3 linked regions of the Callithrix jacchus genome follow. The protein of the gene in region 2 interacts with the protein of the main gene of each other region in a biochemical or structural test. Links are inferred from orthologs where the notes say so. Each region holds a gene or a part of one and is shown on either strand. Other genes may lie near its edges. The genes, in order: PKP1, DSG1 and JUP.

The links.
Region 1: the proteins of DSG1 (region 2) and PKP1 form a complex in vitro, tested with the Homo sapiens proteins (2 studies listed by BioGRID and IntAct). The link is inferred for Callithrix jacchus from reciprocal best matches to the Homo sapiens genes DSG1 and PKP1.
Region 3: the proteins of DSG1 (region 2) and JUP form a complex in vitro, tested with the Homo sapiens proteins (2 studies listed by BioGRID and IntAct). The link is inferred for Callithrix jacchus from reciprocal best matches to the Homo sapiens genes DSG1 and JUP.

The regions. Positions count from the first base shown.
Region 1 is NC_133520.1:28,295,681-28,299,907, forward strand, and holds the start of PKP1 (plakophilin-1), read left to right. Parts: upstream 1-1,321; 5' UTR 1,322-1,509; coding exon 1,510-1,711; intron 1,712-4,227. UniProt on the Homo sapiens protein: A component of desmosome cell-cell junctions which are required for positive regulation of cellular adhesion.
Region 2 is NC_133514.1:74,477,270-74,480,913, reverse strand, and holds part of DSG1 (desmoglein-1), read right to left. Parts: intron 848-3,644; coding exon 812-847; intron 559-811; coding exon 427-558; intron 1-426. UniProt on the Homo sapiens protein: Component of intercellular desmosome junctions. Involved in the interaction of plaque proteins and intermediate filaments mediating cell-cell adhesion.
Region 3 is NC_133506.1:91,455,458-91,459,842, reverse strand, and holds the start of JUP (junction plakoglobin), read right to left. Parts: upstream 2,838-4,385; 5' UTR 2,768-2,837; coding exon 2,641-2,767; exon of another isoform or gene 2,325-2,640; intron 1-2,324. UniProt on the Homo sapiens protein: Common junctional plaque protein. The membrane-associated plaques are architectural elements in an important strategic position to influence the arrangement and function of both the cytoskeleton and the cells within the tissue.

The sequences.
Region 1 (4,227 bases), on a different chromosome or scaffold from region 2:
TCATTCAGTCTTCTGGATCCTTCCTCAACATAAAATTCCCTAAGAGCACACTAAAAGTGAAGTGTGTGAGCTGTGAGCAGCAGCTACAAATGGCAGCAAGAGTGACAGCTATGATAGGGTCACACAGCCGGTGGAGGCCCCAAAACTAAAGCTGACCAGACTGCACGATCACACAGTTCAGTAATGGATGCCCAGAATGAGAAACCCAGGGCATCAAGAAGTACAGCAAGTGTGTTCAGTATTGTTTGCTTTAGGAGGCAAGACAGAATGTGATGCCTTTTAGAAAGATTTCCATCAAAGTAGATACTTTACAAAACACTCAGCTCCTGTTACACACCGAATTCACTGATGTGGGCTCCCTGCAGGCCTGCAGAGCATGCTACGTGAATGAAGCTTCACTGCTCATGTGTCCCCAGGGGTGTGAGTGTGTACAGGAGAATGCACATAGTGGTCCCAGAATAGTAATAAATCCACAGTGGACTTTTGGGGCAAAGCAGCTTTTCAGTGATTCAGTGAGGATCTGGTTAGGAGCCAAGTTACACTTAATTCACATTAAGTTAGCTAGCACTCGTGTATTCACCTGTTTAAAAATATTTGTTATTGAGTGCCTAGTATTATGCCAGGCATTGTTTTAGAGGCTCTGTGTGGAGTTTCAGAGAGGATCTGCTGTTCACGTGGTGTTTTACCGGGGTATACTCATGAACAAGACATAACCGCCAGTTTTACCAAGGCACACCTACTGTGTGCTCTGTTATCTAAAGTCTGCTCCTTGATATGGGCTTCCTGCCCCTGCCCCTCTTTCTTCAGGGGAAGCTGCTAAGAGTCGCCTGGGTGGTCCCCATAAGATGGAGCACACCTTTGGGGCAAGAGCTATGGTTCTGCCATCAGCCCGGGAGCCTCCACCGACAAGACTGGTCTCTGCCATGACCTCAGTACAGAGGGAGATGGACGCCTGGCTCTTCTGGGCAGCCTGGTCAAGAAACACTCCTTTTTTTCCTAGAGAGAGGTCCCTCTCTGTTCCTGAGCTGAGCACAGGCTTTCTCAATGAGCCAGCAGAACAGGACAGAGGGGCGTCTCCCTGGGGCCTCCAGGCCTGCGACGTTTCTAGCTCATGGAGAGGGGGAAGGGAGAGAAAGAAAGAGCGAGCAGGAAGGCGCCCAGCGTCCCGCACGGAGGCCTCGCAGCCTTGCCCCAAGAGCGCTGGCTCCCAGCGGCAGTGCCCTGCAGCCCCGCGCCTGAGCGGCAGCAGCGCGCAGCCGGGTGGAGTGGGTGGTGCAGGGCAGGGGTGGTATATCCTGTCTGACGGAGGGCGGGCCTCGCCAGTGCCAGAGAGGGACGAGCCAGGGTGGAGGCGCCAGGAGCAGCTGCCGGGAGCCCTCACGCGGACCACTCACTCTATGGCCACAGGGAGCCGCTGAGCGCGAGAAGAGCACGCTCCCGCCCGCCCGCTGCACCGCACCTCACCGCGCTCTCCCCGGCCCCGGCCCGCGCCTCCCGCCTCCTGCCACCATGAACCCCTCGCCGCTCAAGACCGCCTTGGCGTACGAATGCTTCCAGGACCAGGACCACTCCACGCTGGCTTTGCCGTCGGACCAAAAGATGAAAACGGGCACGTCTGGCCGGCAGCGCGTGCAGGAGCAGGTGATGATGACCGTCAGGCGGCAGAAGTCCAAGTCTTCCCAGTCGTCCACCCTGAGCCACTCCAATCGAGGTAAAGGCCCGGCCCCCTTTCCCGAGCGCCCTGGCCCAGCGGCGGGGACCGAGGCGGTGCCAGGAGGTGAGGGGCTGCCGGCACCAGGCAGGGTCTACGCTCCGAGTGCGAGCGCGAGCAGCTGAGCTCCCAGCCTGTTCCACGACCCGAAGCCGGCTCGACGGCTCCACTAGCTCGATGGCGCGCCAGTGGGCCAGAATGGGTGGGTGGTTGGTTCACCGGGACTCGGCCAGGAGAGTCTCCCAGCGTTCCGGAAGCCTGAGGATCCCCCGCGAGCGGTTCTCGTGTTCCTGAGCCCTGCCTGGGTCTAGACAGCTTTCTCTTTCCCACGCCGCTCTGCGGATCCGCGCCGCATCCTGGCCCGTCCCGGCTGTCCTGGGGCCATGGCCTAGCGCTCGCAAACGGTTGTGGGTCACCTTGCACCCTTCCTGGGCTTGGTCTCCCTGTCTCAGCTCACGGCCGATGCCCAGAGCCCAGGCCAAGGGGAACCCCAGTCCCTGTGGGGCCGTGTGTTGCGTGTGTGTGCGCGCCAGAGCGGGGTGAGAGTCGCTGAGACAGGAGTGCAGCTCAGGAGAGGCGCTGCGGGACAGGGAAATAGCACAGGGAGCAGGGACGAGGCCCTGGAACTTCGGGGCACTTAATCCGGAGCCTCCCGGAAGAGGCTAGCCTAGCTGGAAGGCCGCCCCATGGCCAGTGGTTCCACTGACGACAGGGAAGGGGGTTAGGGATGCCTTCTTTCCCCAATAGCCAAGGCAGAAATCCTCTTCCCCACCGGATTCTTCCTACCCCACCCAGCTTCAGTAGAAACAAGTGTCTCATGGGGAGGGCAGGGAATGAGCCTGGCAGGTTGGAAATCCCCCAAGCCCCAGGGAGACCTTCAGCTGAGCCCTCCCAGGCACTTTTCCAAGCTGGATTCCAGGCCTGGCACCCCCTCCTCCAGCCTCTGAGAGGCCAGATCCCATGACGGGGCAGCCTGGGAGAAAGGTGACAGCACCCAGGAAACTCAAGGAGGAAGGGGCAGTACCGGACAGGGGAGAGCTTACAGACCAAATAAACGCTTTCATGCAAAGGATGCCGGGCAAGAATTCCACACAAGTGAGCAAAGCTTCCACTTGTTTGTTTTTTTTATTTTATTTAGCTAAGTTTAGTAAAATGCTGATAAAGACTCTACCCACTGCAAACCAATACATGTCAATCAAGACTTATTTCTCAAGACAGACCTTAAGAGAGAGTGAGGGCAGGGGGTAAAAAGGTGTAAGGGGGCAAAAGAAACCGACCCTGCCCATTCTCCCACCACGCACACACGCACACGACCGCACGCACACACACACACACACACACACACACACACCACTCACACTCTCTACCTCTGGCCCCAGCCCCCATTCCTGGGTGGCCCCGTGTAGAGCCGAGGGAGGGAAAATGGCGGGCAGAGGACTTCCTGGGCCTCAGACCTAAAGGTCTTTGCTGCGCTGTGTGCTCTGCCTTTGTCCGGGCTCCGGGCTCCTCTCCTCACATTTCCACTCAAGGTCATGCCGCCTCCAGAGCACTTGCCTCCTTCCCTTTTATTTGGTTCCTTGGTAGCTGCCTCCTAGCCTCTTTAAAAGTGGGTTTGGAAGAACAAAATGCCCCCATTTCTGGCTACAGCCCAGGGCACAGCTCAAGCCAACCTACTCTCCTCTCTGCACAAGACTTGACTGTCCCCTTCCCACTCCCACTCCATCTCAGCCTGAGCCCTTGGCTCACAGCTCCAGAAAACTCAAGCCGGCCCTGGGTGCCCCAAGGACCCTTTCTTCTTCCCACCTATGTCGATATGGGCTGAGTGTCTATCGGCATGAAGTGCACTTTCTGAGTTTGGTCTTCCTGGGTAATTTCTGTCTGATAAGGTCGCCTTTGTTCCTTCTTTGTTTTTCCCCTGAAGGTCCCCCAGGGGTCTTCAGACAGGGAGGGTTGATGCTGATGGCTACCTCTCCAGAAACTCCAAGGACTGGCCCTATGGGCCTGTTCCCTGTGCCCTCAGCCTCAGGAGGCCCCTAAAGGAGGCTGGTTTCCCCAGAGGCATCCTCACTGGAAGAGGCGGTTTGGGCACTTGGAGCTGGTGTTTCTGGTTTATCTGGCTTAGTTTTCATCAGATTTCTCTGTCCTCTCCATCAGAAACGCCCAAGCGTCCCCTATTTGCTCTGCGGCCACCTCTACTCACTCTGCTCCCTCTTTCTCATGCTGGTTTACCTGTCAGGAGTCTGCCTGGGTTCCTGGAATGGAATGAGCCGGGGGACATGGAAGGACCATGCCCCCAGACAGATTCAAATTCTCCTTTAGTCTCTTCTAAGAGCTGAGAGTTGGTTCACCTAGAGTCTTCTTGAGCCCCTTGAATCCTATCCGAAGTTCCCCTAGTTAAGAAGGGCTGGCCACACCCCACAGGTTGCCTGGAAGAGTAGCCAATGCTTCATGTACCCCGGGAAGGACAGTCAGGACCAGCCATCCTTGGTCCTGGTGATAGAACTGGCTTCTTCTCA
Region 2 (3,644 bases):
TTACAGAAAAATGAATAGAAAAGGAGTATGAGAGAGGGCACTTTGTAAATGTTAATAAACAAAAAAGTAGGAATTCAATTCTAACACATCATGAGGGAAAAAGAGCATGCATTGAAGTAATTCCTTTGAATGCACTGAAAGCCAAATTCTTTATTTAAATAATAATGTTTTTACATCTAGAGTTTGGGATATCACATGATCACGTATATGCATTTCACAGTGAGGCGAGTCAGTGTTTTGCTGTTTCTCTGAGTGCCTGCATTTCTTAATTTGTCCTTAGGAGTTTCAGTTTTCACCACGTAGATGACAACAGTTCTGTTCTGTATGGTAGCTTCTCAGTGAGACATGTTCATCAAACATTAAAAAGGCTGTTTGAAACTGTATCCATTCTGATTTTCACTGTTATGCTTTGGAGTTGATACTTACTTTGGCGATTGGGTTTCTCTTTGAGTTGTCTTCACCTTCACGACAGGCCGCCGCGAACTTGATCCATTCACGTTTCTGCCTTCGGATTGAATGCCACTTGATGGTGCCATTTTTAGTGTTATAATCTCTTACCTTGAATGAGAGCAATAAAGAGATGGTATATATTAATTTAAATTTGTATTCCAAATTCCACTGAGATTTTTGGAAGAGGATATAATGTCTGAAGTAGAGGATGTTTAATTAGGAACGGTGGTAATTTTGGTCATCTATTAATTTTAGCATGATGTGAACTTTATAAGAATAAATTTTCTTCAGAAAATATGTTGTTATTCTCAAATTATATTCCTGTTTAAAAATTTGGAAAAAATGGATTTGTTATATTTACCTGGACTCGGAATTCACTGTTAACTTCTACCACCACCTATAAGAAATAAGATAATCACACTAGTTATTTTTTAATTAAATGCTTTAAAATGCATATTATTCAGTTACTTCAATAAAGATATAAAACCATAGGTTTGTGAATAATTATATTTTATCAGTCTATATAGCAGGTAGATTTGGTTTGTGTCTTGGGTCTGATGATGATGCTAAGAATTTTTGTTTTTACCGTTCGATTTACTCTTCTTTTTATTACTTCTATTTAAAATTTTTTTATTTTAGCTATGCAGATACTTGTTATTACATGGTAGAATATTTGAAGCTAGAACTCAAATAAAATGTGGTCAGAAGCTCAGGCTGTCTTAGTAAATCTTGTGCCCAAAGAGCTGAGATCTCTAAGGCTGTTCAGTAATATTACAAAATAAGTCAAAATCTGAAAACATTCGAGTATAGTTTCAGGATTTGACTAGCCACAGTTGTAAACAGAAAAAAAAAGTGTGTGTAGGGAAGAAAAGATATGAAGCAGAACAATATAAAGGCTTCAGAATATGTAATCCCTCACTCTAATTGTAGATCAAAGATTTCCTTGTATACTTGCAAATTTTAAGATGAAGTTTTTCACCTGCTTTGAAATATGAAAATAAAAAGTTCTAAAAGAAAAACATTTTCCTTTATGTAAAAATGAACTAGTTGATGTTTTATCTTTAGCTCTGAATGAAACAGATATTATAAATGCATCCTTCCACAGCAAGGAGAGGCAAATGCAGGAGTATAGGGACAAGTTGCTGGGAATGTAACTTCCTTAGTCTCTTCTCTTGTATTAAACAATTTCCCTAGATAAACAAGTATGTTAGTCAAGCTGCCTAGTTACAGCTCTCACTGTAATCTTTATGCATGATTTGCAGGAAAAAATTGAGATAATTTGAATTATTTTCCCTAAAAGTCATAGGCTTTTCTGAGACCATAGACATTTACATATGGAGTTTAATACATTCATGTACTTGTTTAAGACATTGTAAAATATGCCTAAAAATTAAGTGTGGACTGGGGGCTAGTTTGTATTTATTAAGTTTTAAGTTTTATTTATAATTCATTAAAGATAGTATAAATCCTTAATTTGTATTTCTCCCTAAATAAGAAATTTTCAACTTCTAATTGAATTTATTCAGAATTTCAAAGTATGAAAAATTTTATTTGTATCATTGATATAAAAAAATTATAGTTTGCATTTAAGAATACTAACAACAGTAATTTAAAAATACAAAAAAAGGTTTTTTTATAGTTGATTTTAATCGCATCATCAAATAAAATATAAAATTAATGTCTCTAAGTACCTACTTAAAAAAAATTACCACAATAGTTAATTCAGAAAATCAATACTTATGATCAATATGAAAGTGTAAAAAAGTCATGTTTTAATATAGTAATTACATGTCCATTGTATATTTAATATTAATAATTATGATTGTTATTACTATTTTAATTTATTTAATAATAACTAAGTACTAGGTAATGTATAAATCTATGCATTTAATCTTCACAGCAAATACATATGGTCAGCACTAATACTATCACATTTTTCAGATGAGGAAATTGAGTTTTGGATATTAATCTATGGCTAAATGCAATTCAATACAATTCAGAATAATTTGAACTTGAGTTGTGAGTTTTACAATAAAATATGAGATAGCCTATTCCCTTAAGTAAATTACTACTAAGTAAAACATGCTACAAAGAGTTGATATTGCAACTTTAAGAACACAAAAAATTCTGATTTTAATCTATTATCTTTGTGATTGGTAATATTTATATACAGCAGCAGTAATACAGCACAAAGAAAAAAAGAAAACTACATGGCCCAGAGTTTAGGTCATGTTATCCGTAGAGTTCACCTTGGGTGCAGAACTGAAATGATGTTAATATGCATGCATGCTCCTTGCTACCTGTGCATTTATGAACATTTTTTCCCTCTCTCTTGCTTGTGAGTGTGGGATGAGAGACGGGCATACCTTACTTGTCTGTTCGAAAGCCACTTCTTCATAGCTACAGAATTGTGTGTGCATCTGCTCTCTGTTGTTGCACTTCCCTTACTGCACTGGCGCATCAGTGCTTGCTGTTTGTTTTGGAAAACAGTGCAGATGACTAAGAAATCTTTCCAGCTTTATGAAGCTGGGTCATTCTTTTTCCCATGAGAGACAACCTTAGGCAGAAGACCAAGTGAGTTTCACCATACTGTCAGACTCTCAACTGGATTTGTAATTTAAAAACTGCCAAGTCTGCTTAAAAATGTGGTGGGTTGGTGTAAGCTTATTTTCTGTTGCTCAGAGTCTAGAAGGAATTCTGATACAAAGTCACTCTTGGATTTGCAAGGGCAAAATAGTGAAATCTGACTCTTGACAGAGTTGGAAAACCTTCAATGTATTTCCTTAATTCTCTGAACTTTCATTTTCTCACTTGTAAAATGACAATAGTAGACTGAATTTTATACAGGTAACTTTTCAGCTCTAATATTAAATACCTGTGTGCAGTAGGAAAATATTGAAGTATTTAGATTGTGGGAAGGGCATGATATAATTGCAGTTTTAAATCTTACTCTGACAACAGTTAGTAGGACTAGCAGGAAGAGGCAGTGATTATAGACGGTGAGCAGTTGAGGGTCTCTTTATCAAAGCAGACTAAAGTTGAGGAAGAGGTAAGCTGGAGCAGAGGCAGAGGGAATGAATGGTGAAAAATCAAAGAATACTGCAGGATAGCATTTAGCAGGGCTTGAGAACAAATGGGATGGGGTTGTTCAAGAAAGGGAGGAAGCTCAGGAGATGGAGGTTTTAAACTGTGGG
Region 3 (4,385 bases), on a different chromosome or scaffold from region 2:
ATAATGATACCCGCTTCTTTTTTTCTGAGACAGAGGCTCACTCTGTAGCCCAGGCTGGAGTACGGTGACACAGCTCACTGCAGCCTTGAGCTCCCTGGACTCAGGTAATACTCCCACCTCAGCCTTCCCAGTAGCCGGGACCACAGGCTTGCACCACCATGCCCAGTTAATTTTTCTATTTTTTGTAGAGACAGGGTTTTGCCATGTTGCCCAGGCTGGTCTGGAACTCCTGGGCTCAAGCAACCTGCCCCTCTGGGCCTCCTAAAGTGCTGGGATTACAGGTTTGAGCCATCGAGCCTGGGCAGCCTTAAGTTTGAAGTGAGACTAGCTAATGAAAGTGCTTGGTTTCTGTAAAGTCTTACCTTGATCTTGAGTTACCATTTGTCAAGTACTTACAGGGCAGATAGGTATTAGTATTCCCATTTTGACAAAGAGGTCACTGAGGCTCAGGTAATGGAATGAGGGACAGAGGTGGGTCTCAAACCCAGCTCAGTTCAAGCCCAAAGCCCTGTGCTCAGAACTGCCCCACCATCCCATCTCTCCAAATAAACAGTCCTTCTGTAGACTAGTCAATGGACCGATCTCATCCTAAAGTGGCTCCAGGAAGGGAAAAAGGCTGGCAGCCCTAGCCTGTCTTTTCTTGTTCCTATGCACTGAATTCTCAAAGCCTCAGCCCTGGCATTCCAAACAGAAGTTCCAGAGGGAATGGGGTGGAGCCAGGGTGCAGGGGAGGGGTGGAGTGGGTTCGGGAGGGCTCAAGTCACCCAAGCTGGGCTCCATCTAGCAAGAAATGACTAACTGGATCCTATCTTCTCCTCCTCCCCCGCGCCCCCAGTCCAGTCAGTGGCCAGTTTTCACCAGGCATCTCCTAGCAGTACTTCCTCAGTAGTATCTTTTCATCATAGCCACAAACCAGATTAGCTAAACTAATCATTTAGCCAACACAATTACAATGCCCTCCCCTCCTCCACCTTGGCACGGAGAAGAGGGAAAGCAGGTTATTTTTGCCCAAACTCCGTGCCCTGTTGCTCCCCAGAGGCAGGCAGCACCCCTTTCCCCAGCAGAAAAGGATCTGAGTTCCCACACTGGCTTCCCCCTGGTCCAGGGCTGTGCATGATCCCCACCCAGGACAAAGGGGCTGAGTCTGGCCCCCCAGCCTCAATCCCCCATCTACAGCAAAGAAAGAGGTGGCAGGCTCTTCCCCTCCAAGCACTCTCGATCCCCAGTTCTGCAATCTTTCTCCCACCCCCAGGACTGAGAGAGAACCCAACTCTTATATTCCCTCTCTGTTCCCAAGGCTGGGCTCCAAATCCTGCAAAATGACCGCACTTAGGACTTTTTAAAACCAGGGTAGAAAGCCTGGTGACGACCCCCAATTCTGGAGGCGGGGTCTCAGGAAATTGGGAGTAGGGAAGGAGGTGGGGGCGGTGGGGGGGGGCATTCACCTCTCCTGAGGGAGTCTAACATTGAAGAAACCTTCCCCTCCAAAAGCCTTTCTCCAGTCTCACTTTCCCTGTCAAATTCTTTCAGGAAAGGGGATAGGAAAGGTCTGCCCAGGCCTCCAGAAAGCATGCACCTTCATAATTCAGAAATCAAATGGAAGGCAAGCCCCACAGCCTCATGCTCTTCTGCCTCAATTACCAGCCAGCTAAGTAATGTGGGGGATGGGGTAGAGAAAAAAAAAAGACAAGAACATCCATTCCCCCCACCTTCCTAGCTTGGCCCAGCCCTGCCCCACCCCCATTCCTGGGGAGGGGGCAGAGCTTGAGAAAGAGCCACTCACGCAGGCCATGTCTGAGGGGGTGTGGTGGTCCCCGGAGGCAGGAAGAGAAAGAGAAGGAAGAAGCTGCTTCCCCTCTCGGCCCTTTCCACCCACCCCACCCCGGCCCCCACCTCAGGCCCCTGGGGCGCAGCTAACAGGATGGATGTGGGGGCAGGGAAGCCAGGGTCAGAGCGCAGGCAAAGGCCCAGGTTCAGCCGGGGGCCGGCTGGGGGAGGGGACTTTGCACCAAGAAGGACCTCCTAAGCCTAAAGGAAGTTCTGGGCAAGGAGACGGGAAAACCCCCAGAGAACGCTGCTGTGAATACTTCCTCCTGCAAAGTTTGTTTTGGGTGATTTTTCCAACAATAAGAGGTTAGAAAAGAAGACGATTCCTGTTCCCCTACCAACACTCTGGCAGCCACAGCTACTGGAAACTGGGCCAGGTGACCCTGAATGCTTCACTCGTGCACAGACCCCTCCCCCCAGACCGAGCCACGGGTGCCAAACACCAGCTGGACACTGGGCCGAGCCGTGCACCAGCCCCCACTGTCACTCCATCCCACCTCTGCTGGAGAAGCCAGAGCCGGGCACCCACTGGAGTGGAGGGAGGCGCCGCAGGTAGTATCGACGAGGCTCCGGGAGCTGGAGGGCTGGGCCTCTGGACTCCGTGCGCTCACCTGCTCGGCAGGTGGGGCCAGCGTCACTGGGAAAATGTGCGCTCGGCCCCCACAGTTGGGCAAGCTGGGCGCAGACAATAGGGCCCCACCCAGGCCTGGGGGAGTAGAGAGGGAGGGAAAGCGAGGATGACGCGTGGGGTGGGGTGAGGGTGGCCCCAAAGAGACCAGCGGCAGCAAGTTTCCCAAACGGTAAATTACTGACTGCAGCGAGAGCCCTGGGACGCAGTCAAAGCAGGGCAAAGTCTCCCCCTCCAGCTCAGGACGAGAGTCAGGGACGCGGCGTCGGGCGAGCTGTGCGGGCCCCGGGAGGGGCGCGACCCCCGAGGCATCTGCCCGGAGCCCTCCCGCCCTGCTCAGATCTCCCGCTCGCGGAGCTCCTAAGCGCGCTCGGCCCGAACCGCGCGCCCCCCCAGTCGCCGCGCCCAGGACCCCAGCGCGCCCCCTGCTGCCAGTGCAGGGTGGCGCTCCATGGCACCCGCCCTCACCTGCCCAGAGACTGCTGGGACCGGCCCCGCGGCCGCTCGCCACCCCTTCTCTCCCCATCGATACCTGTCCTCGATCGCCCGCACCTGAGTCTGGGGCCTGGCCGGCCGGGTAGAAATCGGGCCGGGGTGGGAGCCGGCGCGGACAGCGAACTGAACTCGGCGCGCTCGGGCGGCGGCTGCTCCGGACTCTGGCCAAGGCAGCAACTCAGTAACCGAACAAAAGGCGAAGAGACCTGACAGCCAAGCCACGCCCCTCGCCACCTCGAAACTCCGCCCCTGGGGGAGACGCCCACCCGCTGATGCGAGCTCACTGGCTGTCTCGCCTGACTGTCCCGTCAAGGGGTGGAGCCTCGCGTCCAGTCCTTCTCCACGGCCGCCTCTGTTTATCCGCTTGCCATTGGCCCCAGGGACTGCCAGTCGGCTCTAGGGATGGACTCTAACTTGAGATCTCATCCTAACACTTCACCAATTGGCAGATAGAAAGTTACTTTCTCCTGATTGGGCAAGGGACTGTCAGTAAGACTAAGGAAAAAAACCAATGGAAGGTATGGGGTGTGTCTTGCCCCACCCTTGCTCTGAGCAGGTGAGACTCACTACTCTCCCCTTCCCCCTACCTGTCCAACAGGTAAGTCAGGGGATACCAAGGGAAGGGACAGACGCCTTCACCAGCCAGCCAACTCAGCGTCAGGCATGATGCTTCTTTGGGCTTATTCATCCTTGCCCCAAAGTGGTAATAACATATTTGTATGGCATTTCATAGGCTTTGTGCTGGGTTGGGATTTTTTTCCCCAAAGATGGAGTACTTCTGGGATTCAGAATTAGAAGGCCAGGGTTTGTGTTTTGCCGCTTACTATGACCTTAGACAAGTTACTTCACCCTTCCCGCTGTTTCTCCTCATCTGTAAACTGGGTACATTAGCCATATCTACCTCACTGGAGTATGTGGGGATTAAATGAAGTCAGGTTTGTGGAAGCACTCAGAAACTGATAAAGATTAGAATTTAAATTAATGGTATGGGTTTTTTGTTTTCGTTTTTCTTTTTTAATTCTCGTGACAGCTCTGAAAAATAGGACTAGAAAATGATCCTCATCGTAAAGATGAAGAAACCGAGGTTCAGAGAAATCACAAAACTACAAAGTGACACACCCCAAGCTAGAACCACCTTCCTCTCATTTGAAGGACCACCAAATCAGCTGTTCCCCTCATGGAAGAAGAGCATAGACATAAAATGTCAAGGCAGTGGGGAAGGGGCAGAGAAAAGGCACAAGATAGAGACAAGATAGAAAAATTGGAGGTGAGATAGAACAACTGCTTGGCCCAAAAATACAGTATTGGTGTCAGGAGGCTTTGGTGGGCTTGGAAACATCAAGCTGCAGATCTGAAGGAAATCCAGCCCTAGCATGAAAGAAACAGGGCAGGCGGGGTGCACTGGCTCACGCCTGTAATCCCAGCACATTGGGAA